3 linked regions of the Lepisosteus oculatus genome follow. The protein of the gene in region 3 purifies or fractionates together with the protein of the main gene of each other region. This does not show direct contact. Links are inferred from orthologs where the notes say so. Each region holds a gene or a part of one and is shown on either strand. Other genes may lie near its edges.

Region 1 (7,683 bases), on a different chromosome or scaffold from region 3:
GTCCCGAACAGATGGACGAAGACCCTTCTCTCAAACGATGAAGATCTGCGCACGTGACATTTCCAGCTCGATCCCCCTGGCCCGGAAGAAGACCAGCAGCCTTGAAGCGTCCCGGCACAAACCAGCACTCCCAGAACTCGCCCTGCTGACGAAGACCACCGAGGGGGGGGGTGAGGAAGAGCGGAGCCGGGCTGGGGCGGTTCTCTCGAGTGGCGGTAAACCCCCCGGGGGCTGCGCCCGCCGTCACAGGTCCCGCCCGGCGGGCTCGGCGCGGCGCTTCACGGCCCGGTAGACGCGAACGTCCCCCCGGGCGTGGTAGTGGACCTGCTCCACGGCGAAGCGCCGGCCCAGCGCGGCCAGGAAGGCCCGGTCCCGCTCGTAGCGGAGCCGGCAGGCCAGCAGCACCACGCCGCCCTCCGAGCTCAGGTGCTCCAGCGTCGCCAGCAGGGCCGGGAAGGTCTCCTCCAGGTAGACGATGTCCGCCCCCAGGACCAGGTCGTAGCCGCCCGCGGTGTACCGGTGCAGGGCCTCGCCCCAGGCCAGCTCGGACACCTCCGCCGCGCCGCGCAGCTCCGCCGGCAGGTTGGCCCGCACGTTGGCCCGGAGGAAGTCCAGGGCGGGCTCCCGGTCAGTGAGGGTCACCCTCGCCCCTAGGACACAGAGCAGGGGCCCTGTCAGACGTCAGACCCCCTTCCCAGCCTGCACTGCCAAACCGACCCCCCCCCGCCTGAATGAGACCGATGGGGGGGGCGCGCACGGCCAGGTGACACCGAACGCAGGTCGCCAAGCAGCTGTGCGCGTCCTGCCTGGGAGCACGGAAGATTCGGCCTGTCGCAACATAAACCACTGCGATCAGAGTCTGACCAGACAGGAGTTTGCTCCTGCTCCACGAACCATTCTTCCATGACCCCAAACCACAGGGCGAAACACGGCTTTCCAAGGTGCCTCCTCCCACAGCGACAGCTCCATCACAATTTGAGTACAGCGCAGTGCCCGGGAAGGGACAGTGCCTACAGGGCCCCTGACCGCCGGTACTCACCCAGCAGTGTTGCCACGATGCCCACCAGCCCGGTGCCAGCCCCCAGCTCTATGGCCTTCTTCCCCTGCAGCTCCACCTCGCCCAGCTCCAGGTACATGCACAGCACCACGGCCTGCAAGCAGACGGGACAGCACAGGTCTGCACAGAGCTGCACCCCCACCGGCCAGACCCCCACGCCCCGTCCCCCCGCTGGCCATCCAGAGACGCCCCGACCCCCCGCTGGCCATCCAGAGACGCCCCGTCCCCCCGCTGGCGAGACCCCCACAGCTAATTTCCCATCTGGGACAATAAAAGGATGTAAGGAATTGAGCGAGTGAGGCCGATCCCCCACTGCCCGCGGACAGCCTCCGAGGACGACGAGCCCCAGCACTTCTGTTTGCAACCAACATTTAAACGCTCGGCCCCCCAGTTTCACATTAGCGTTGGGGGGGGGGGGGGGGGGACGGAGGGGAGGCGCTTCTTTACGCAAAGAGTTGTAGGAGTCCGGAACAAGTCCGATCACCCCCCCTCCGCCTCCTTTCAGGAAACGGCTGGGCTACCTCGTAGCAGCGGCAGCTTTTGAAGACTGAAGCAGCTAGATTGAACCCTTTTGAAAAGCCCACTCACGGCGTCCCAGACCACCGCCGCCACGCCCAGCCGGCCCCAGTCCTGGGCCAAGCGCAGGCGGCGGCCGGCGAAGCGGAACTCGGCGGCGGACTCGTGCAGCCGGGACAGCGCGGGCAGGGCGCTCTCGTCGTACGGGACCAGCGCCATGCTCCGCCGGCAGCGCCTGGGGGAGAGAGAGAGAGAGCACACCGGTCAGCCGGTTTCTGCGGTACGACACGAGCACGGAGTTTGTTTTTGAAGAATGCATCTTCCCGAGTGGCCTGTCTCCTCCCCTCTCCCAGCTTTTGTTATTCTGTGTTATTGAATCTTTGCTGTCTTTCTCACACCTGAAGAAGGCTTCACAGCCGAAAGGTTGTTTTCTCTCTTCCCTTTTCAGCATGCAATAAGCCTATTATATCTTCCTTTTGTGTCGTTTTATCTGCTAAATGAGCTCCGGGGGGCTCATTTCTGCTGGATTCCCCGTGAGCTGGCTCATTCCTGGATTCGTGCAGTAGATCCTCACGTGTTCCACCTGGCCCCACAGACACTGGCGACCTCTGTCCCCACGGCGGGCTGAGTCTTTTTGAAACACTGCTAAGCTACTACGAACTTGAAAAGTTACCACACACACAAAAAAAAGTCAATCGTATTCAAAATCTGTTTTAATCATCCCCAAAAAGAAAACGTATAACCTTAATGTTAAACATTTGAAACCTATTTCTCTGAATAGGTTACAGGTTACTACTGAAACCTAATTCTCACGCTAAGGGTGAACTTTATTAACAACCCCGTTCCACTATTATTTTCTGTCGACCTCGAAAAAGAGCTTCTCTCCCTATCCTGGTAAGATGTCCTATCTACAGCTGTGCTAGGTGTGATTTTTTAATTATTTTAAATAGGATATTGCTGGTGAAGTCTCGTAAAAACAATAACTGCAGCTTACCCACTAGCGAACAATCAAGGACATACCGGAAGTCGCTCAGGCAATCCCAGGAGTGCTAACGGGGGGGTCCCCTTACAATCTCGCGATGTGATGATGTAAGTCTAGCTCTCAGTTCACGTGCTGATGCTCTAGCCTAGCGAGAAGTGTTGTGGGCAAAAGTCACTTGTTAAGGAGACGTGTGTGTGTTCCTGGAGGGAAGTAAAGTTACCAGACAGAAGTGTGGAGACTGATTTGTATAACAGGACATTTTATTAATAATAATAATAATAATTTACGCTGAAAAAAGGAAGGAAGAAAACACAACGTTTCGGCCGTGGAGCTTTCTTCAGGCTCAAGAAGGCTCCACGGCCGAAACGTTGTGTTTTCTTTCTTCTTTTTTTCAGCATGGAATAAACCTATTACTTGTTCCATTGCAGCCTATGCATGCTGATGCAGGTGCCCACCTGAACTATAACAATAATAATTGCTTACACTTATACAGGACTTTTCTGGACACTCCACTCAAAGCGCTTTACAGGTAATGGGGACTCTCCTCCACCACCACCAGTGTGCAGCCCCACCTGGATCATGAGACAGCAGCCAGAGTGCACCAGTACTCTCTCTACACTTCAGCTCTCAGTGGGGAGGAGAGCAGAGTGATGAAGCCAGTTCAGAGATGGGGATTATTATGAGGCCATGAGTGGTAAATAGATTGCTGGGTCTAATCCCAGACTAGAATAAAATGAAAATCCCCATTGAACCGCTGCACACAAAATTCTGAAAAAAACATTCTTCGTGTGCACAAACATGGCACGGTGCTTGCTGGGCTGGATTAGACCAATGCCCAGTGCTGATTAATATGCAGAAAGAAAATGTTGGCAACAACTAAAAGCAGCGACTACAATTAATAACTTGTTGTGAATGTTTTGGTGATTTTTATGGCGTTGGCAACACTGTTATTGCCAAATAAAGTTCATTGAGCCTGTGCTGTCTGTTGTTGTACGGTACACTTCTGTGTTTAATTATTTTCTGCTATGTGCCAGAATAATATTACACTGCCAATATTCCGTCGTGCCGTTTTTCTTTGCACAAATATTCTAGCAATTCCTGTGTAACATAGCGTACCAATAAAGCCCGCATATACTGTATAAATCTACATTAATACTTTTCAAAGAAACTCAGTGTCGTTTTCATCATGCCCTCTGTTTCAGCGGATGTGGGCCCTTGTACCTTTAAGGACATAGCAGGCTGCCCTCTGGGGTCTGGAGTATGTTTCCAGACCCTTGGAGGGACTTTTAACCTTAAGCCCCACCCCTTTCCACCGGAATGGGGAGGGGTATCATGGGTTGCCGTTTGACTGACAGTGGCAGTGTTCAGAAACCAAGAGGCATTCGGTGACTGACATTTAATCTAACGAGTAAGGAGCCAGATTAGTAAAAGTGGGCGGGGTACTGACCAGCCTGACCGCCTCCACTTTGGTCACGTGACAACACCACGACCCAATCAAACTACTCGACTCGGTCTGTGTTTGGACGAAATAGCCAATCGGAGCGCGGGGCCTCGGTGGTGGGTGGGGCTCGTGTGAGTGCCAGGTAGTGGCGCTGGGAACAGATGGCGGTGGTGGCGGGGAGCGGATTGCTGAACTTGCCGGTGGGGAGGAGGGGATAGCGCCGGGGGGGGGGATTCTCCATAGCCGATACCGGGGTCGAGTTGAGTAAAGCCGTGCTCCGAAAAAGGCTGAGGCCGAATACGTGCCTGACTGGACTCCCCCAGGGGGGTTGAAGCCCGCTGGAGCAGCCTGGGGTCGTAGGCCTCTCATCCTCGAGGTACAGTTGAGCTTGGATCCCGTAAGAGCGAGCGGGGCGAAGAGTGGAGATCTACCTCGGAGAGACGCAAATCCCGGAGCAGAAGCAAGCAGGCGGGCAGGCGGGCGGGCGGACGGGGTTGGAGCGGATTAGTGGAAATCCAGGTTCATACACTACATTTAAAAAAAAAAAGAAAACAGACTCGAAATAGAAGCTTCTCCAAAGAATCGCCGCTTGTTGCAAACTTGTTCGGACTAATCCTTTCCTTTTTTATTAAAGAAAAAAAAAGCATGTAGCAGGAGAAACGGCCTGATCGGTTTCGCTCACTTCTTCTGGGACTCTTGGGGCGGGTGTAGGATTGGCTGAGGAGTCGTGCCGCCGGGTTGAGGCGAGCGGAGAGAGCGGTTCGGACAGCGCTGGCTCCGGTCCGGTCCGGTGCGGTCCGCTTCGCTTCTGGGAGCGCGCCCTGCTGGGCTGGCGGTGCCCGCAGCCTGGGGCAGGTCACCCAGCTCACCAGCCAGAGGGATGTAACTTTCCAAGCGGAGTCGTACCCGCATCGTGAGAAAAAACACCTCACACTACTTCCTTGCGGTTTCAAACGTCACGGTTTAAATGCAATTGGATTTTAAGGCCGGGCGGGCGTCCTCGTAGCTCCGAAGCCGAGGCAGGACAGCGGGTTTCGGCGAAGCAGGCTCTTCCTGAGGGGTCGAGGCGCTCGCCAGCAGAGTCCCGGGACCCGCCAGCGGGACTGTGGGGATGGGGAACACCGTGTCGTGTTGCGTGTCTCCCGGGGGCAGTCCGAAGGTCAGCCGGGCGAGGAGGCAGCAGGAGCGCCTGGAGGAGTACCGAGTGGACCCGGACCTGAGCGAGCCCGACACCGGGCCCTACCTGCAGCACATCAGCGACAGGGAGGTCCCGGACGGTGAGTGTCCCGCGGCGGGTGGGGAAGGGGACACGGGTCGGGCGCGGAGGGGAAAGCGGACCTGCGGGACCGAGGGAGCTGGACATGCCTCCTTCCCCAACCCAGGAATCCTGTTTAAGCCTCCCCGACTCTGAAAGACCCCCAATATTGTCCTTTCTCCACCGTTAGTGCTTCACTGGCGGTCCACCCAAAGCAGGCGCTGTCCGGGTCGGCCGCAGCAGCCACGGGACCCGAACTCTCTCGACAGTACTGAGGCCAGAGATCCAGTTAGGCGGTACCAGCTCGCAGGTGGGGGCGGTACTGCTACTGCCCCCGCCGTAGGCTCGGCAGAGCTGGTTAAATCTCTCAGGGGCGCGGTGGTGTATTTTATAAGGATTTTTTCACTCGTTTGCTCGCGGGGTTGAAGTTGGCAGGTCTTGCACTGAGCTGCGGGGCCGCCCGTCTGAAGCGGTAGCGCAAGCTGGTTGAGCGCAGGACATCTTTTTGATAAAGACCCGAATGCTTAGAAATATGGCGTCAGAAGTGTTGTTGAGTCGATATCTGTCGGTGGCAGGTCCAGGCCGGGTGGTTTTTTTTTTTGAGTGTGTGTGCGCGCTGGACACTGACACGGGTGTGTGTGTGTGTGTGTGAGAGCGTGTGCACGCTGGACACTGTGACACTGGGGTGTGTGTGTGAGAACGTGTGCACGCTGGACACTGTGACACGGGTGTGTGTGTGTGAGAACGTGTGCACGCTGGACAGTGACACGGGGGTGTGTGTGTGTGAGAGTGTGTGCACGCTGGACACTGACACGGGGGTGTGTGTGTGAGAGTGTGTGCACGCTGGACACTGACACGGGTGTGTGTGTGAGAACGTGTGCACGCTGGACACTGTGACACGGGTGTGTGAGAACGTGTGCACGCTGGACACTGTGACACGGGTGTGTGTGTGTGAGAACGTGTGCACGCTGGACACTGTGACACGGGTGTGTGTGTGTGAGAACGTGTGCACGCTGGACACTGTGACACGGGTGTGTGTGTGTGTGTGTGAGAGCGTGTGCACGCTGGACACTGTGACACTGGGGTGTGTGTGTGAGAACGTGTGCACGCTGGACACTGTGACACAGGTGTGTGTGTGTGAGAACGTGTGCACGCTGGACAGTGACACGGGGGTGTGTGTGTGAGAGTGTGTGCACGCTGGACACTGACACGGGGGTGTGTGTGTGAGAGTGTGTGCACGCTGGACACTGACACGGGTGTGTGTGTGAGAACGTGTGCACGCTGGACACTGTGACACGGGTGTGTGAGAACGTGTGCACGCTGGACACTGTGACACGGGTGTGTGTGTGTGAGAACGTGTGCACGCTGGACACTGTGACACGGGTGTGTGTGTGAGAACGTGTGCACGCTGGACACTGTGACACGGGTGTGTGTGTGTGAGAACGTGTGCACGCTGGACAGTGACACGGGGGTGTGTGTGTGAGAGTGTGTGCACGCTGGACACTGACACGGGGGTGTGTGTGTGAGAGTGTGTGCACGCTGGACACTGACACGGGTGTGTGTGTGAGAACGTGTGCACGCTGGACACTGTGACACGGGGGGGTGTGTGTGTGAGAGCGTGTGCACGCTGGACACTGTGACACGGGGGGGTGTGTGTGTGAGAGCGTGTGCACGCTGGACACTGTGACACGGGTGTGTGTGTGTGAGAACGTGTGCACGCTGGACACTGACACGGGGGTGTGTGTGTGAGAGTGTGTGCACGCTGGACACTGACACGGGGGTGTGTGTGTGAGAGTGTGTGCACGCTGGACACTGACACGGGTGTGTGTGTGTGTGAGAGCGTGTGCACGCTGGACACTGACACGGGTGTGTGTGTGTGTGAGAGCGTGTGCGCGCTGGACACTGTGACACGGGTGTGTGTGTGTGAGAGCGTGTGCACGCTGGACACTGTGACACGGGTGTGTGTGTGTGAGAACGTGTGCACGCTGGACACTGACACGGGGGTGTGTGTGTGAGAACGTGTGCACGCTGGACACTGTGACACTGGGGTGTGTGTGAAAGCGTGTGCACGCTGGACACTGTGACACGGGGGTGTGTGTGTGAGTGTGTGCACGCTGGACACTGTGACACGGGGGTGTGTGTGTGAGTGTGTGCACGCTGGACACTGTGACACGGGGGGGGGTGTGTGAGAGTGTGCACGCTGGACACTGTGACACGGGGGGGGTGTGTGAGAGTATGCGTGCTGGACACTGACATGGAGGGTGTGTGTGAGAGCGCGTGCGCTGGACACTGTGACACGGGGGTGTGTGTGTGTGAGTGTGTGCACGCTGGACACTGTGACACGGGGGGGTGTGTGTGTGAGAGCGTGTGCACGCTGGACACTGACATGGAGGGTGTGTGTGAGAGCGCGCGTGCGCTGGACACTGTGACAC
Region 2 (8,149 bases), on a different chromosome or scaffold from region 3:
ACAAAGGTTCATTAGAAAGCTCACCAAAGGTCATTTATCATGATATATTTAAATAGTTCATCTTTTAAATTAGGTTGATACAGTGGCATGGCATTTAGCACTGCTGCTTTATAGCTCTTGAGTCCTGGTTTGATTTTTTTGTGGAGTTTGCATGCTCTCCTTCTCTGGTTTTCTCCCACTATCAAAATACATACTGTTTATGTTAACTGGCATCTTTAAGGAGTCTTCATTATGTCTATGTATCCTGTGCTAGGAGCCCAGTGCCTGCTGAATTAGGCACCAGCTCACTGCCACCCTGTATAGGAAAAAATGCCTTTATTGTTTTGCACCACAGTGTATATATATTTTGACCTGACCAGAGAACAATTCATCAAGTCCATTAGTGACCAACACATAAAACAAGCACTTAAAAAGACTGGAACGGTGACACACTTCAGTAAATACAGAAGGCAGAAGGGGCCTGACTCAACACAGTCCTTAACTGCTGTGGAATGGCATCTAAAGTTACAGGTTAGCTCTAAATCACATTTACTCTCCAGGGCAACCTGTAATCATACAAAGTGGTACCTCAACAACTGAAGGCTCCCAGCTGTGTGACACAAGTTCTAATACTCCTAGATTCTGTCATTCATACACACTGCCCACCTGCAGCACCCACAGCAAGGACAGAAGGAGCTGCAGAGGGTTGTGTTGCTCTTCCCTTGAAGAGGCTACTAGTGAAAAACACTTTGGTTTGTGTTGCCTGATCATTAACATCTTTTAATCAATGTACTGAAAAAGTAAAGGGGCAACCGATGTTTAGATACGTAATAGAAAGTGTGGAGGCATAGTGGCACAGTGGTTAGCACTGTTGCCTCACAGTGTTAGGACCCTGAGGTCAATTTCAGGCCTGGAGTACTATCTGTGTGGAGTTTGTATGTTCTCCCTCTGTTTGTGTGAGTTGAATAATAATAATAATAATAATTAATAATTGCTTACACTTACATAGTGCTTTTCTGGACACTCCACTCAAAGCGCTTTACAGGTAACGGGGACTCCCCTCCACTACCACCAATGTGCAGCATGCACCTGGATGATGCGACAGTCATAGTGCGCCAGTATACTCACCACACATCAGCTATCGTTGGTGAGGAGAGCTGAGTGTTGAAGCCAAATCACAGGTTTAATCATGGCCATGACTGATTAAAAGCCAATGTGAAATTTGGCCCAGATGCCAGGGCTACACCCCTACTCTTCTCGCGAAACATCCTGGGATTTGTAATGACCAAAGAGAGCCAGGACCTCGGTTTTACGTCTCATGCGAAGGATGGCGCCTTTTTAAAGTATAATGTCACTATACTGGGGTGTTAGGACCCACACAGACTGCACGGTGAGCGCCCCCTGCTGGCCCCACTAACACCTCTTCCAGGCAGCAACCTTAGCTTTCCCAGTTGGTCTTCCATCCAGGTACTGACCAGGCTCACACCTGCTTAGTTCAGTGGGTTGCCATCCTGTCCAGGGAATACTCTGCCTTACTTCCATCTCTTGTCAAGATAGCCTCTGGCTCTTTAATGACCCTGAAATGGATGAAACGGGTTAGAAAAGGTCTCAACAGAAAACTAGACAAAAGTGTATTTAGATTTGAGAAAATAAAATATTTCTTTACCCAAAAGGTTATGTAAGTATGGAACCGTCTGCTCAGCCATTTTGTTCAAATGGATACCCTGGCTTGTTTCAAGAATCAGCTGGATACAATCTTTAGATGAATTAGCTACTAAACTCCAAATGGGCTACATGGGCAGAAGGTCCTCCTCTTATTTGCAACCTTTCTTGTGTTATTAGTGCTGAAGAGGTGTATTCAGTTGATGAGGTAGCAGGTTATGGTTGGGTTTCATTCATTTTCAAGGCTGCTCAACATGCCAGTGTAGAGAGCTGTCATTTTCACCTTATGTTTAAATATTTCACTTTGATCAAACAACTACCGAATAGTTCTAGTTTAGGTATATGTAAATAACTGCATTTGTATTTTTAACGTTACCTTTCTCCACTGCACAGCATAATGAAAGAGGAAAAAGGAGACAGAAGGAGGAGTCCCGCAAAGCTAAAGATGACATAACCACAATAGATGTGTGCAACCCAACAGCTTGTGGAAAGACCTTAGAAAATCAAACCTAACAACTAACTTAGATTCCAATCAAGTAAAAAGAGAGCAGCTCAGTACTTTTGTGACCTGTCAAGTCAGTTCTTAATTCACTCTTTACAGTAACTGAAGAGAGACTAATGTGATATTTCGTGGATAGGATATCGAATGAATAACAAGGTGATGTGTAGCTGACTAGATAAAACCCCTATTAATAAATAACCCCCCTTACTGCTAACTACTGACAATGCTGCCGAATCATTTGTAGATTCCTGATCATTATCATCAGCAAGAATTTGAAAATGCGTCTGTAAACACACTATGAAAAAAACATTTCTGAATCAAATTGGATTTACATCCTATTTCATTTTGTAATGCAGACCTGCATACATAATAAACAATGGCTGTGTCATGTCAGGGCAGTTCTGCCATCTTTGCTACAGACCTACATAGGTGACCTTTCATCTCTCAACTAGATAACAAGCCCTTACTAGTAATCGGAGCTCCTCAAGGTGTCACAGTCAGCATGAAGGCACATCAGTCTTTATCTGTTTTAGCAGAGGGCATTGTGTCTGTTATGCTGCCCATGTTAGGAATCCCATAAATACAGAAAAGAACATGACAGTAGCAAGTGAGGCTGAGGATTTCACTGTCTCATTTCTAGAGCTGTCTTCTCTCTGCCATGCAGGACACTGTTGTGAGGCAAATTCCTTCTGTCCATGCGTTTCCTAACCGTTTCATCCAATTTAGGGTCACGGGGGAGCTGGAGCTTATCCTGGCAAGCAATGGGCGCAGGGCAGGGTACACCCTGTATGGGACACCAGTCCATCGTAGGACAGACATATACAAACACACACTCGCACCAGGGCCAACATTCCCAGCAGCAAATAAACTTACCAGTGTGTCTTTGGATTTTGGGAGGGAACTGAAGCATCCGGAGGAAACCCACGCGAACATGTGGAGAATGTACTAACTCCAAACAAATAGCACCCTAGGTTTGGAGTTGAACCCAGGGCCTCAGTGACTTGAGCTAACCTTCACAAATTACAACCCACACAGAGTCATAGCCCTGATTAGGACCCTTATATTCAAAAGATCTTTACTAGCTGAGTACTTTACTGATGTACACTACTGTAGCATGATATGTACAGAAAAATATATGTAATTTTGAAGGCCACATGAATAAAAAATGTTACTTAAAAAGTGAAACACAAATTCGTAGTTTGTGAAATGAGTAAAGTAAGGCTTGTTTGGGTCTCTCTAATTTTAAACAAATCCTCACACAGCTACTTAGAGGAAATGGCCCCCAGTATCCTTCTCTGATTTCCATTGAATCCAAATAGCTTGTTTGTCAACACTTCAGGCTGAATCTACTCTCATATACGTGCATTAAAATAACATCCTCTTGATATTAAAGGTTGTTATTTGAAGGTAGAAAATAAAAATGAACTGCAAAACATTTGAAACAGAAAACACAAATGGACTTGAAACAGACCCTGACATATAAAAAAACATTGCACAACATTACGAAACATAACTGATACTGAGAAACAAAAACTTGCTTCATGTGAAAAGTGTATCTGATATGCAGTTAATGGCTGACATGTTAGTAATAGTAATTGGAACGTAACTACTGCTGAACTTTCCTTAGTAGTTTTTTTATGTGATTCCCAAAACACATTTCTTGCAAGTTCCTTAAACCACTCAAAAACAAAGCAAAGGCAATTCTTAGTTTTTGTGTTATACTGATCTTTATCAAAGTCACACAAATGTGACATTTACCATGTAAACATTATCTGCAGAGAAATCTGAATTTCTCTAAAATGTGTTACAGTAGGAAAAAGAACTATTGTAAGACTGACGATCTCCCAGTCTGTGGGTGAACAAGCACGCAGATAGCAGACGGGTTAAGCTAATATCTATTCAATTATTACAGCTTTCCCACATGTGATAGAAATTAATACTTAACACCAAGTGAAGAGTATGTGATGTCCATAGACATCATTTATATGCTAATAAATAAGGATTTCCTTTCTCTTTTTCTGTCTTTTTATTTATTGGCACAATTTACTTTGATTACTGGAATAATAAAATTACTAATATTTGGGCAGCAGGAAATGGGACCAAACCGTTTTTTTAAATAATCCGAGATATCTTTTTAGAGACCTTTCCAACATTATAATTTCTAGGTTTTAATCATTTTTTATCCTAGCGCCAAACATACTTACAAAAAGCTAAAACAAAAAGAAACATTTGTATTCATATAAAACAGATAACAACACCTTTCTGTGGTGTACAGTAAATTACGTGTAACATACAACCGTTCTTATATTTACTTAATTTACAAAATACGAAATGAGTACAGCTATTTTAATAATAAACGCAGTTACGACAAGAGAAAAACTTCATTTCCAGGAGAAAAACTACATATTACGCTTGAGCCCTCCATTCTTTCCTGTCCAACACATTTTTAGGCTCCCAGCAGCGAATTTTGCAGAAGCGTTACCACCCACTTGAACCGGAACCTTTTCAATCAAACTGCTTCGACTGTGTTGCCTCTGTTTGCTATGTACACTGACAGCAGGAGCCGCGACGCTTGCAATGTTTCGCTAACATCCTCAGTTTACATGCCCCTGTTAATGGGTTTAAAATGACGAGGGGATAACAGCAGACCCCCTTTCGTTTTGTTTATTTAGATCAATCACGACAAGTAAACCAGACTGCTGCGTGGGTTGTGCAGATTTCAGTGCCTGCTTAAAATATCAGGCGGGCAGAAAGAAAAGGGAGAGGGTTTCAAACCTTTCTCCGATTTCTTGCTCTTTTTTCTGTTCGCAAATGGCTTTGCATTATTGCTGCTGCTGCTGCTGCTGCTAGCTAGGACCGGACGAGGGTGTATAACTGATCGGATATTCTGGTGTTGCAGTTCCACCCTCGGCGCCCTAGCCTTCTCTTTCAAGACCAGCTTCGGTCTGTGCTGCCAAGCAAAGCTGAAGAGCACTGAGTATATTAAAAAACAACCCTAAAAATGGGGAACACGACGTCCTGCTGCGTGTCCTCCAGCCCCAAGCTCCGGAGAAACGCTCACTCCAGGCTGGAGTCCTACCGCCCGGAGCCCGAGCTCAGCCGAGAAGACACGGGCTGCAACCTTCAGCACATCAGCGACAGGGAGAATATCGACGGTAAGACGGCAGATAAATCACCATGTCTAACGTGAAGGAAAAAAAAATCCAGGACCGCTAAAACCAACGTCGATTTCGTAAATCCAAAGCCCCTCCTTTTTGTTCGGCATATATTTTGTGAAAAAAAAGAGGACTAGTTACAGTGCTGCGAGGTTCGCAATTGCTGAAGATTCTTGAAATTATTTTTTAATTCTTAAGTTGTAAGAATTGAAACCGTGAAGATGCTCAAAAGCTCGAGAATCGTATGACTATTAATCGGGATCGTGCTTGTTGTCATTTGTATCTGTACAAGCGAGTAGAAATTGTGATTTATTTTTTGGGTGGCCCTTGTGTTTTGCAAACAAGCGACAGGAGCTTTGACACAGACTGACAAGTCGATTAGGTTGGCTCCTCAATGTTGTCATCCCGCTGTGAGCATGAATTTTATTGCATCTTGTTTTTTTAAGGTATCGGCGCTTCTAAATAATAAAGGTTGTTCATTGTTTGATGTACTTAGTTATTTACATAGCGGTGTTTGGGGTTTTATATTGTTATCCATCTACCAAACATACACACTACCTCTCCATATGTTTGTTTCACGTTCATAAATCAGTTATTACATGGTTTTGTCGTGAAATGTTCCCTACCGCGAGTGACTTTACAACGAAGAGCCTTGATCTGTTAAAACTTTTTTTTTCCAATAAGAGGAATCGATAATTTGTTGTTGTGGACCTAGTTCAAACCATGTTTGCGGGCGGGTCCCCGGGTTCTCCTGGGTCTTTTTGGTGAGAGCCCAGCGTCCAGCCGGTTGTACTGTGGGTAGTTTCTGATCTGATTGCATTTAACTTCTTAAGGTGTGTGTAATCTAAACATTATTTACTTCATTCAGATTGGATTGTTTATAAATACGTTATGGCATAAGGCCGTTTATTGTTTTATTCTGTAGCTAAATGTTCCTTGAACAGCCGATACCCTAAAGGTTAATTTAAACTGCGACTTCAGGGCACTCCCATGACTGTACTGCTGTGTGTAATGATTTTAATCTTCATTCAGTCTTGTAAGATCCGTAAAAGAACTACATGTTAATTAAAACACTCTTCTAAATTTGGTTACAAAACCACAGTATTAGTGTTCGTAGCCTATTATGGGCACTGTGCTTAATTGCTTTGTAAAAGTCAGAAGAATGAAATCATTTGTTAAAAGCGATAATAAACCCTGATTACCTCCGGATTTTTAAGTAGCATTTACAGGCTAACGAGGCTATGATAAACTCACTAGTGCAGCAGTGAAAGTTCCTTTATGAAAATACTCTTTAAAATCAGAAGGCACGTCTTTTACAGAGAAATACAGTACTGCAATGAGATATATTAATGTTAAACAGTTTTATAGCTTCAATTGATCTGAAGACTGACAAAAAAACAGCATAATGAATTGCACGAATCACTGTTACTGCACGTATTTTACCATTTTATCATGTAAAAACAACTTTCCAGGTTAATCCCAATTACAGAAGTCGGCAAATATTTTTTTTCCATGAATTTTACTACTCAGTTCTTGTAGAATTTTACTACTTAGTAATACGCCTAAGCAAGCACTAAATATTTCTTGGTGATTCCCAAAACATAGAAAGTTAAAAGGCATATAATTTAAAAGCGGCTATTGTATTGGTGGCTTTCCCATTTTATAAACTAAATAAAATTTTTAATTTCTTTTTTGGAACTTGTCTATAAGCTTGTCCTTTCAGTACTGGTGCCATTCTAGACAAGTAACTGGCCTGTCACACTATCCTTGTTGTATTCTAGGACAGCAGATCCTAGAACAAATCATCACTATTAGACACCTCCCTTATAGCTTCACTAGGAAACCTCTGAGGTACATTTTCTAAACATTGCAAAAAGATGTTTAACATTTAATATAGTTAGAACAGGTAAATCAGAGTGAATTAAGTTATTACCCTTCGTATTACTTTGTGTGCTTTTCATTTTAAACCTTACTAAATAAACATTGAGGTACTGTAATATTAGTTACTTGGGCTTTAAATGGTTTATAAACTGAAAGAAAATTTTGACAATCGCATAGCAATCAATATTTGCAGCATAAAGTTCAAAATTAACTCAGTGAAACATTACTTCCAGTTTGTATTGTATGATTAGCGATGCAAGGGGGAAATATTTTTTTTATTTGAACAATTTTTTTCCTAGTTTTGATTTTCTTTCCACACCCAATTTGCTTTCGCCAAATGTTTCTTTGTCTCGGCTCACAGCAGCGACTCCAGTACTGCTGAAGGAGAGAATGAGGACTGAGGGACAAGCCTCAGTCTGACCTGCCCTCCTATTGAGACGCTGCTCTTTGGTCACTCTGCAGGCTCAGTGGTGCCTGACGGGAGAGTTAGTACTGACTGGATGAGGGGTGGGTTTCTCTCTGACATCACATCCGGGTGCTCAGAAAGCTGGCCTTTGATGGAAAGCTGAGAGAGCCCTTACTGATTGCTGTCTGCCTTGCTCTGGCGATACTTTACTAACTCCAAGCAGCTGCAAGGGGAATCCCAGTCAGTAAGCTGGGGTTTCCTAAGCAGCAGGCTACAGACTCGGGTTCTAGCCTGAGACCTCTGGGTCATAGTGCTCCACCTGCAGCAACCGCCTTTTCATAGTTTGTTGAGTCACTCAACAACCAAGCACATTTGATTTTTTTTCATTTTGATCAATTTAATCATTTCGACTTCTACAGTGAACTGAATCTGGCTCCTTCCCAAAGTTTTTTTTCTGTGTAAATCGAGCTGTGCTTTCCATGCCACCATGTATTCCTTAAGACGTTCTTCCTACTTCTTGTTATATAGCTTTAGCAGTTGCATGAGAAACAAGTGCCACATGAC
Region 3 (7,984 bases):
CCCCCCTGGGGTGACCCGCCAGGCCCACGACCCTCGGACCAGCGCCAGACACAAAGCACCCCGGGGCTCTGAATGCCCACCTCCTCCAGCACCCCAGGGCTCTGAATGGCGGAAACACCAGCTCTCACCCTCCTCTTCCTCTTCCTCAGGCCAAAGGCAGAGCCCAGAGAGAGATCCTTCCAGCTCCAAAGATCAGGGGAAGCTGACTAACGAATACAATCACATCATCCCTCTTTTTTTAAAAACAGAAAGCGTGTCCAATTCCTCTTCCTCCCGGGTGCCTGGTGATCCCGGGACAGCCCCGCTGGGGCAGGGGGGGGGGCAGGGGTGGGAGCGAGGCACCCTCTCCTCGTGACTGACCCCATCCCCGCCAGCGGAGCTGCAGCGTCTCGTCCGGTCTCGTGCCCGAAGACGTCTCCATGACGACGCTGCCCTCGGGGGGCACGGGCCAAGGTCACGTCACCGCCTCCCCGGGGCTGGGGCCCGCGACCCCTCAGAGCCCCGAGCCCCGGAACCACGGCGCCTGGACGGCGTCACGCAGCGGCACCCCGCGCGCCCGCACACACGCGCTGGACCCGTGACGGCACCCCACGCCCGTGGGCATCGCAGACAGGAGCGCTGCGGGCTGGAGGCGCTGTGACAGACGTGCTCGCCTGCCCTGAAAGAGCAGCCGTACCGCAAACCTTAATACGCAATAACGACATTAGTTCCCAAAGTGCCATCCTAAAAGAGCTATTCATTCCGGCTTCACGACGCGCTGTCATGAGTTAAACACGCAAGACAGTCGTAACGCACGGCCCTGTACACCTCTCCGCCGGGGACCAGCCTCACAGTCCGTCTCGCACCTGCAGCCCCCGCTCTCCGGAAACCGAGCCACGCGCGTCGCGAGCCCCGGCGGCCAGCCTCGCGCGGTCCACGCGAAACCGTCCAGCCCGGGCGCGTGCGCCGCCGCCGCCGCTGCTGCTGCTGCACCGGCCCGGAATGCGTGCGAGCGGTCCTCGAGAGGGGGGGGGGGGGGGGGATTGCGAGCTCGTGCAGGTTAAAGACCCCCACCCCCCCACTCGGGGTATCCCTCCGGCCCTGGGTTCCAGCCACAGGAAAAGGGGGGGCGAGAGATCTCGCTAAACTCCGGACCCCGAGACCACGACCCACGACTACCCGCTGTGTCTTTGACAAACGCACCCCGCCGACCCCCCCCAGTCACCCCAAGTCCGTTTGAACACACGAACATCGCCGTCCCTGCGCAGCCCCGCCGGCCCCTGTGCGGTAACAGCCGAACGACGAGGCGGACGGACAGGTTCTCCTCACCAGCCCGAGCCCGGGCGTCCGGAACCGGGCCGAGCCCAGACTGCGGCACACGGCACCGGCCACGTTTCAGCCCTGCCGCTATCAATAGAGGGGTGGGGGGGGTTATAAATCACGGCACTTGTATGACGTCATTATTATCCCCATGAAACAGTGGTCCAGCGCGCTGCGGAGACTCGGAGACCCCCGGACCTGCCTCCGCCGACCCCCCGGCACGGAAATAACCGCCGCGGGCGCGCAGGAATGCGGTGTTATAATTAGCCCGCCAGCAGTCGGCGGCAGGTATGCGGGCGATTCCGTTACTTGGGAGCCGACGCGGAAAACACCTCATCCTGCGGGACCTCGCCGTGGAAAGCGGGGCAGCAGGAGGCTGACAGAGCCTCTGCCCAGCCCCGCCGTCCAGCTGCCCCGTGCACAAACACGGGGGCAAATCCGCGCCCGCAGACCCTCCCACCGCCCGCAGAGAGAGAGAGGGAGAGAGGGAGAGATCTTACCCCGCCGCGGGACGTCTGCTGCCCTGGCTGCACGGTCTCAGTAATGTCCCCGGGCCGCTGGCAGCTCCCAGTAGTCTTCAGCCATGGTCCGGCAGGCTCCGACAGGACGCGGATATCCCCCCGACCTCCGGCAGCTCCCGAGCCGCTGGTGTTTTTCGCGAACTGCGGCACAGCTGGTTTTCTGTTCTACCCCCTTTCCCTAAATCCTGGGAGCGGAGGGGGGAGACGGGAACAGCCGCGAGTCACAAAAACCTGGACTGAAACACGCACAGGGGGGGGCGGGGCTGCTCTCGTACACCCCGACCGAAATATTCCACGCCGTGCCTCACGTCCCGGGCTGCTGCGCTCCACCGATTTTCCCGTTTTGATATCACCGCTCACAACCCCGTGCCCGGCTTGTAACTCGCCGATCACTGTGAGGTTTTCTAACCCCCCCCCATCCCCAGACTGACACGTCCCCTCCCCCTCCTCTCCTCGTCGGTGCCCGGCGATGGTACGGCCCGAATTCCATTCAGAGAAACCAGGGACGTACCATCTGGTGAGGGCGCAGAGGGGGAGGGGGGCGGTCGCGTCACTGGAGAATGGTGGAACAGCCTCGTAATAATCTGCGTCACAGACGTGAGGATCCCGAACCCCGGTCTGGTGGATTAGGAGCCGGGGTCATACCGAGCGATTTCACGTGTCCAGAAAACAGGGGGCCAGAACCCGAGTTCTGTAGTCCCCCAAACCTCCTCTCCAAGCCCATAAGTAAAAATTTCGGGGGCTCCCCTTCTGACGGAGAGCGAATTTTGCGCTGTACGTCAAGACCCGGAGTTTAAACAGAGACGGCTTGAAATGGGAAACAAAATAGAATTTCATGCGTAAATCAGACCTAGACTCACGGCAGATGCGGACTAGGATGGTTGTTGGGTTTTTTTTTGCACTGTTACGGCGATGGCTTATCTAAGGAATCGTGGTAGCGAGATGCGCGACAGTCTCCCTACATATTTCACACCGCGAAACTCCGTCACTTGAAGATGCACACCGGCAGTCCGAGCTATTCCGAGTTCATACTGACCACACTGTCGTTACTCCCCAGGATTTGGCCTTCAGCTCAACACCCGTCCTCCTTAAAGATGATCGGAACCTGTTCTAATACCGAAGAGAGAAACCTGGTGATCTCGTTAATCACCAATAAGGATGCCTTCACTTGCGATTCGGAACCGAGCACATCGAAAGATCCGTTGCCTCAGCTCGGAAAGGGTTTACAACACACCGCTAAGGCCATTAAAAACAAAAACTCGTCGCGGAGCTGTCACGCCCTCAGTGAGCTCCGCAAACGCTTTTAGACTTTTATAGGTCGCGTAAAGCAGATCGAGGGAGAGACGTTAAAGAGATCACTTTAAGGGTAGATCTCAGTTATTTCAAAGCGTCCCGCACAACCGATAAAGTAAGGAGACGTTACCCCCCGGCTGCTTCAGGAGAATGAGACCCTTTCTGAGAGACAGCAGTAACGTTTTGAAAAGGAAATGTTACTCGGTTGTCGCATTGGACGATTTTCATTTTCTAATCTCCCGTGTAAGAGAGTGTTGTTTTCGGCTTTTAACAGGGACAACTGCTGTAAAAAAAAAAAGAGGTAAATAGTGAAGTTTGAGTTTCCTGTGGAGTTAATCGGCCGGAGTGAGAAGCCGCAGCTTGCAGTCACTCAGTCCCTCGCAGACGAGCGATTCTGCACTTTTTTCCCCGCTCAGAAGTAACGTCAAGCGAAGCAAAACGGGTAAATCCGTACTGAACACAACGCCTGAATCGCACGTGTAGATATTGTAGCGCTCTCGGGCTCACGTGGGTATGCGCCCTCGCCGCTGCCGCCCCAGGTCGGCCCCCCCACCGCTGGGGACTCGAACCCGGGCCTCTGGCGGGGGGCTAAGGGGAGATTTCCCTGTAGCTCAACTGGCTGGGTCCCTGTTGAGTGACGCTGGAGGCCCGGGTTCGAGTCCCTAACGGTGGGGGGATGACCTGAAGCGGCGAGGACGCTACAATATTAACCATACTCGACACCTGTGGCTGCCTGGATGTGTAGCCTTTTGTGGACAAGCAGCTTGGAACGCGACTGCGCCCGTTCAGCGTGCCTACAGGATGTCGACCGGGGCACCTGCCTTAGCCACACGGATTGAGGGCTTCAGAGAGCAGGTGGACGAGGAAGAGAATCTACAGAACCAAAACTATTATTCCAGACAAACGGGATTTACAAGTGCTAATTCAGTTCTAACGTCTAGGGTATGTAAATGAAAGCTTGCCTAAAGCACAATAGATTGATCCCGTGAGGGAAATTGCAGTGCAACGGCAGCTTAACAAAGTCAAGCACAGCACAGTGTAACGAAATGATACAACAATACCATACAGTCAATACAGTCAGTGGGAAGTGCAGTAGAAGGAAAAAAATGGATTATACAGAGTTGCTCGCAGTACAAAATATACAAAAGGAGACCCGAAACTACTGGACACAGCAAGATGTATTGCGCATTATAAATATATTGCACAACTCCCCAGCATATCTTGCACATAAAACAGTTGTAAACAGGAAAAAACCAGATGGAAGCAGAGTTTTATGTTTAGTCCAAAAACAGGTCAATGTTGCCCCTGCCCAGACACACAGTGGAGGCGTTGTACAGTCTTAGGGCAGAAGGCAAGAATGACCTCCTGTAGCGCCCCCTGTCGCACCGTGGTGGGATCAGCCTATTGCTGAACGTGCTCTGGAACAATTTTGGTGCTCTCACGATATTTCCTTATCAGTGCGTTTAAACTGTCCCATAATGACCGCTCATATCCATTTGGGTCTGGGGGTTCCCTCCTATCTGCAAGATGCAATTGATTAATTCATAGACGTGATTGATTCATTATTCAATCTGCATCTCTCATCTCATCTTTCTTTATGAAGATGGCTCCTCCTCTCCTGCTCAGGAGAGGACAGTTAACATCTGACTAAACCCAGCCCTGGAGATTCTCTACAGGAGCGCCCCCACTGAACACAGCCCGATCCGCCACAGCAGCTGTGCTCATTCTGGGAGGCAGAGTGGAAAAGCACGGAGCAGACGTGCGTGCATCAATCACTGGGGAAAAGGCCATTTAGGGGACAAATTAAAAAGTGCCAAATGACATGGAAACTGGCACACTGAGCTGTGAACGTTGAACAAGCACTCCCAACGTTATACAGAAAGAATTAAAAAAAACGTATCTGTCAGGTAGCTCTGCGATTTTCCCAAAGGGCAAAAGTGCACATTTAATATCTCCAGTGCTGCAGATGAAACAAGGCAGGGTACCTCACAAGCCCTTGTTCCTCTGTGTGTGTGTACACTTCACAAGCATATTTTACTCTGTGTGTGTGTGCTCACAAGTGCTTGTTCCTCTGTGTGTGTGCTCACAAGCCCTTGTTCCTCTGTGTGTGTGCTCACAAGCACTTGTTCCTCTGTGTGTGTGCTCACAAACCCTTGTTCCTCTGTGTGTGCGCACACAAGCCCTTGTTCCTCTGTGTGTGTGTGCTCACGAGCCCTTGTTCCTCTGTGTGTGTGCTCCCAAGCCCTTGTTCCTGTGTGTGTGTGTGTTCACAAGCCCTTGTTCCTCTGTGTGTGCTCACAAGCCCTTGATCCTCTGTGTGTGTTCTCACAAGCCCTTGTTCCTCTGTGTGTGTGCTCACAAGCCCTTGTTCCTCTGTGTGTGTGTGCTCACAAGCCCTTGATCCTCTGTATGTGCACTCATAAGCGCTTGTTCTGTGCTCTATGCATGTGGTGATGAGATTGCAGGTGACTGGCGCAGTAGGGCAGTGCGCTGTGTGCCCAGAGCCTGGGGGCGCTCACAGAAGGGAAAGGTCACTCTGTCAGAGCTGGCACAGGATGAACAGCACGCAGAGACTCCGCATCAGGGCTCCTCTTCGTCCGTGTGTTTCTCGCCTGCCTGCTGGCTTCAATACTCAAGCGATTGTCGAGTGTGAAACATTAGCAAAATGTGGAAGAAACGTAAAAAAAGAAGCCTTCAGAGGAAGGGTCCTAACCTCACCACATCCTAATACACAGTTACCAGTGTAGGACGTGATCTTACTGTGATGGACTGTGGTAAATGCACCCACAATGTAATTCTTTTCCAGCTGAATCTCCAGCCAGCTGCCAGTGAATCCCTGCACATTTCACGGCTGTGTTTATTCCTGCTCTACCTGATTTTAAATCTCTGGTCAGCCCTCACTGGGCCTCTTCACAAGTGTGTAAAAGGAAGGAAACACAAACCAGGGGATAAACGCAGAAAACCTCAGGGAAGCGCACTTACAAACGAGTACAGGAGGCACGTCCTCACACCTTACCCCGAGAGTTGTGGGGTTCAGAAGCGAGCGGCCCAGCTGTGGCGTGGAAGCTGGGATTCCCAGAGATGCTTCCAGAACAGTCTGTATGAGATCTCCCTGGACATCTTTGTCCTCCTTTGAGCTCCTGCAATCACATGACTTGCCTTACAGACACCCGTCAGCTTATCCACTCAGCACAGCCCTTTATGCCTGACACCATCACGCGGAGATTTCAACAGCGCCACATACCCGAAAACACAAACATACAAACAGCCAACGAAGAAATGTTCTTAGGAGCACTTCAAGAACCGGCCACCAGAGGGAGTTAAGGCTCTGTCACACTTTCTTTTGTTGCGCCCTCTGGTGGCCGTTTCCAGCAGTGCTCATGAGAACTTGTCTTCATTGGGCGTATTTGTATACCGGTATAAACTTACTGCTCCAAAGTACAGCTTATCAAACACGGATTTGAATCAGGCTGCGAGCTGGGTGAGCGCCCTGTGTTTGTGCTTGTGCCTGTGTGGGAGGGCCTGGGCTATACTGCGTGTCAGGAAAGGGAAAGAGGGAGGGCAGGAGGTGGGGAGGAGAGACAGGGATTAATACACAATTGGATCAAGCAGGATTATAAATACTCAGCTTCTGCTCTATCACACGCGCCCTCTCTCCGTCTGCTCACTACTACCCTGTCCACCAGCCTGGCAGACTGTCCCCGTCTTAACCCTCTGACCCTGCCTGTCCATCCTGCATCATCCACTGACCTCTGAGCGCTCGGCTTCGTCACTTCCCGGACAGCTCAAATTTGGACTTCAGACCTTCACTTCGAGATCAATTAAAACAGCAGAAGACGACAGAAGAGCAGCTGAGACTCAGAAGCAAGACGAGACGTTTGCAGGCAGGCTAAGAAAAGCTGGAGATTCTCCTGTGCAGAAACGTGGACTCCCAGCACGTGTGTGTGTGTGTGTGTGTGTGTGTGTGTGTGTGTGTGTGTGTGTGTGTGTGTGTGTCTGTGTCTGTGTCTGTGTGTCTGTAGTTGTCACAGTCAGGCCCTCTGAGCCCAGCTTTCTAAATTCGGCCCTACCACCTCCCATTCCTCCCCCCCAGGAAAGCATGAAACTCAAGTATTGTTGAGCTGGGAGCAGGGAGCTGGAGGCTGGAAGGTGGGGGGTGGAGGGTGGCTGAAAGAGCATGAGTGAAAGAGAAGGGGGGTGGAGAGAGGGAGAGTGGGACTTAGTCGGTGAGACAGACGACGAGAGACAAAAACCTCTTCCTAAGGATCCTGCCTGCCCGCCTGCCTGCAGCTGCGGTTTAAAGTAAGACCTGTTTTGGGGGAAACCCTCTCTTGCTTGTTCTGGAGAATAGCCTGGCTGTCATCGGTGCACCGCAGGCGTAGCGCAGGGGTGAGGGAGCAGGGACTGCTCTGGTGCGTGCTGTGTGTGTGTGTGTGTGTGTGTGTGTGTGTGTGCTGGGGGGAATAGGACACGTCTGGTGATTGCAAACTCCTTTTAAAACCCAAGCGGTGTTTCGGAACCACTTCGGCTGCCAGGGTTTCGTGTGGCTGGTGAGAGACTGGGAGACTGTCCAGCGCTTCCAGCGCCGGAGAAACCCCACAGGTAGCAGGAGGACAGCTGCTGCGGCGCAGCCCTGCTGCCTGGCGGGGCGGGGAGGCTCCTGTGAGCCCAGCGGTGCAGGTCTGTGTGGGTGCAGGGTGTGGCAGGAAGCCGGGGCCGATCATGAATATAGACAAATATTTATTACAAGTAACAGGTTTATTCCATGCTGAAAAAAAGAAGAAGAAAGAGAACACAACGTTTCGGCCGTGGAGCCTTCTTCAGGTGTGAGAGAGACAGGGCAGTAGGCAAAGGTAAAGTAGCGGGAGAAC

What was found.
Region 1: the proteins of cdk16 (region 3) and ccnyl1 purify together in Homo sapiens (affinity purification with mass spectrometry; 4 studies listed by BioGRID and IntAct, counting the BioPlex papers as one, with this or other methods). This does not show direct contact. The link is inferred for Lepisosteus oculatus from reciprocal best matches to the Homo sapiens genes CDK16 and CCNYL1.
Region 2: the proteins of cdk16 (region 3) and ccny purify together in Homo sapiens (affinity purification with mass spectrometry; 3 studies listed by BioGRID and IntAct, counting the BioPlex papers as one, with this or other methods). This does not show direct contact. The link is inferred for Lepisosteus oculatus from reciprocal best matches to the Homo sapiens genes CDK16 and CCNY.

Annotation. Positions count from the first base shown.
Region 1 is NC_090707.1:7,597,745-7,605,427, reverse strand, and holds the start of ccnyl1 (cyclin-Y-like protein 1), read left to right. Parts: upstream 1-4,474; 5' UTR 4,475-5,107; coding exon 5,108-5,273; intron 5,274-7,683. Other genes in the region: protein N-lysine methyltransferase METTL21A, read right to left, coding at 244-650, 1,040-1,151, 1,646-1,808, 1,972-2,024. UniProt on the Homo sapiens protein: Key regulator of Wnt signaling implicated in various biological processes including male fertility, embryonic neurogenesis and cortex development. Activates the cyclin-dependent kinase CDK16, and promotes sperm maturation.
Region 2 is NC_090701.1:38,337,086-38,345,234, reverse strand, and holds the start of ccny (cyclin-Y), read left to right. Parts: upstream 1-4,630; 5' UTR 4,631-5,144; coding exon 5,145-5,298; intron 5,299-8,149. UniProt on the Homo sapiens protein: Positive regulatory subunit of the cyclin-dependent kinases CDK14/PFTK1 and CDK16.
Region 3 is NC_090697.1:76,679,934-76,687,917, reverse strand, and holds the start of cdk16 (cyclin-dependent kinase 16), read right to left. Parts: upstream 3,084-7,984; 5' UTR 2,857-3,083; intron 2,253-2,856; exon of another isoform or gene 2,006-2,252; 5' UTR 1,800-2,005; intron 1,331-1,799; exon of another isoform or gene 1,309-1,330; intron 1-1,308. UniProt on the Homo sapiens protein: Protein kinase that plays a role in vesicle-mediated transport processes and exocytosis. Regulates GH1 release by brain neurons. Phosphorylates NSF, and thereby regulates NSF oligomerization. Required for normal spermatogenesis.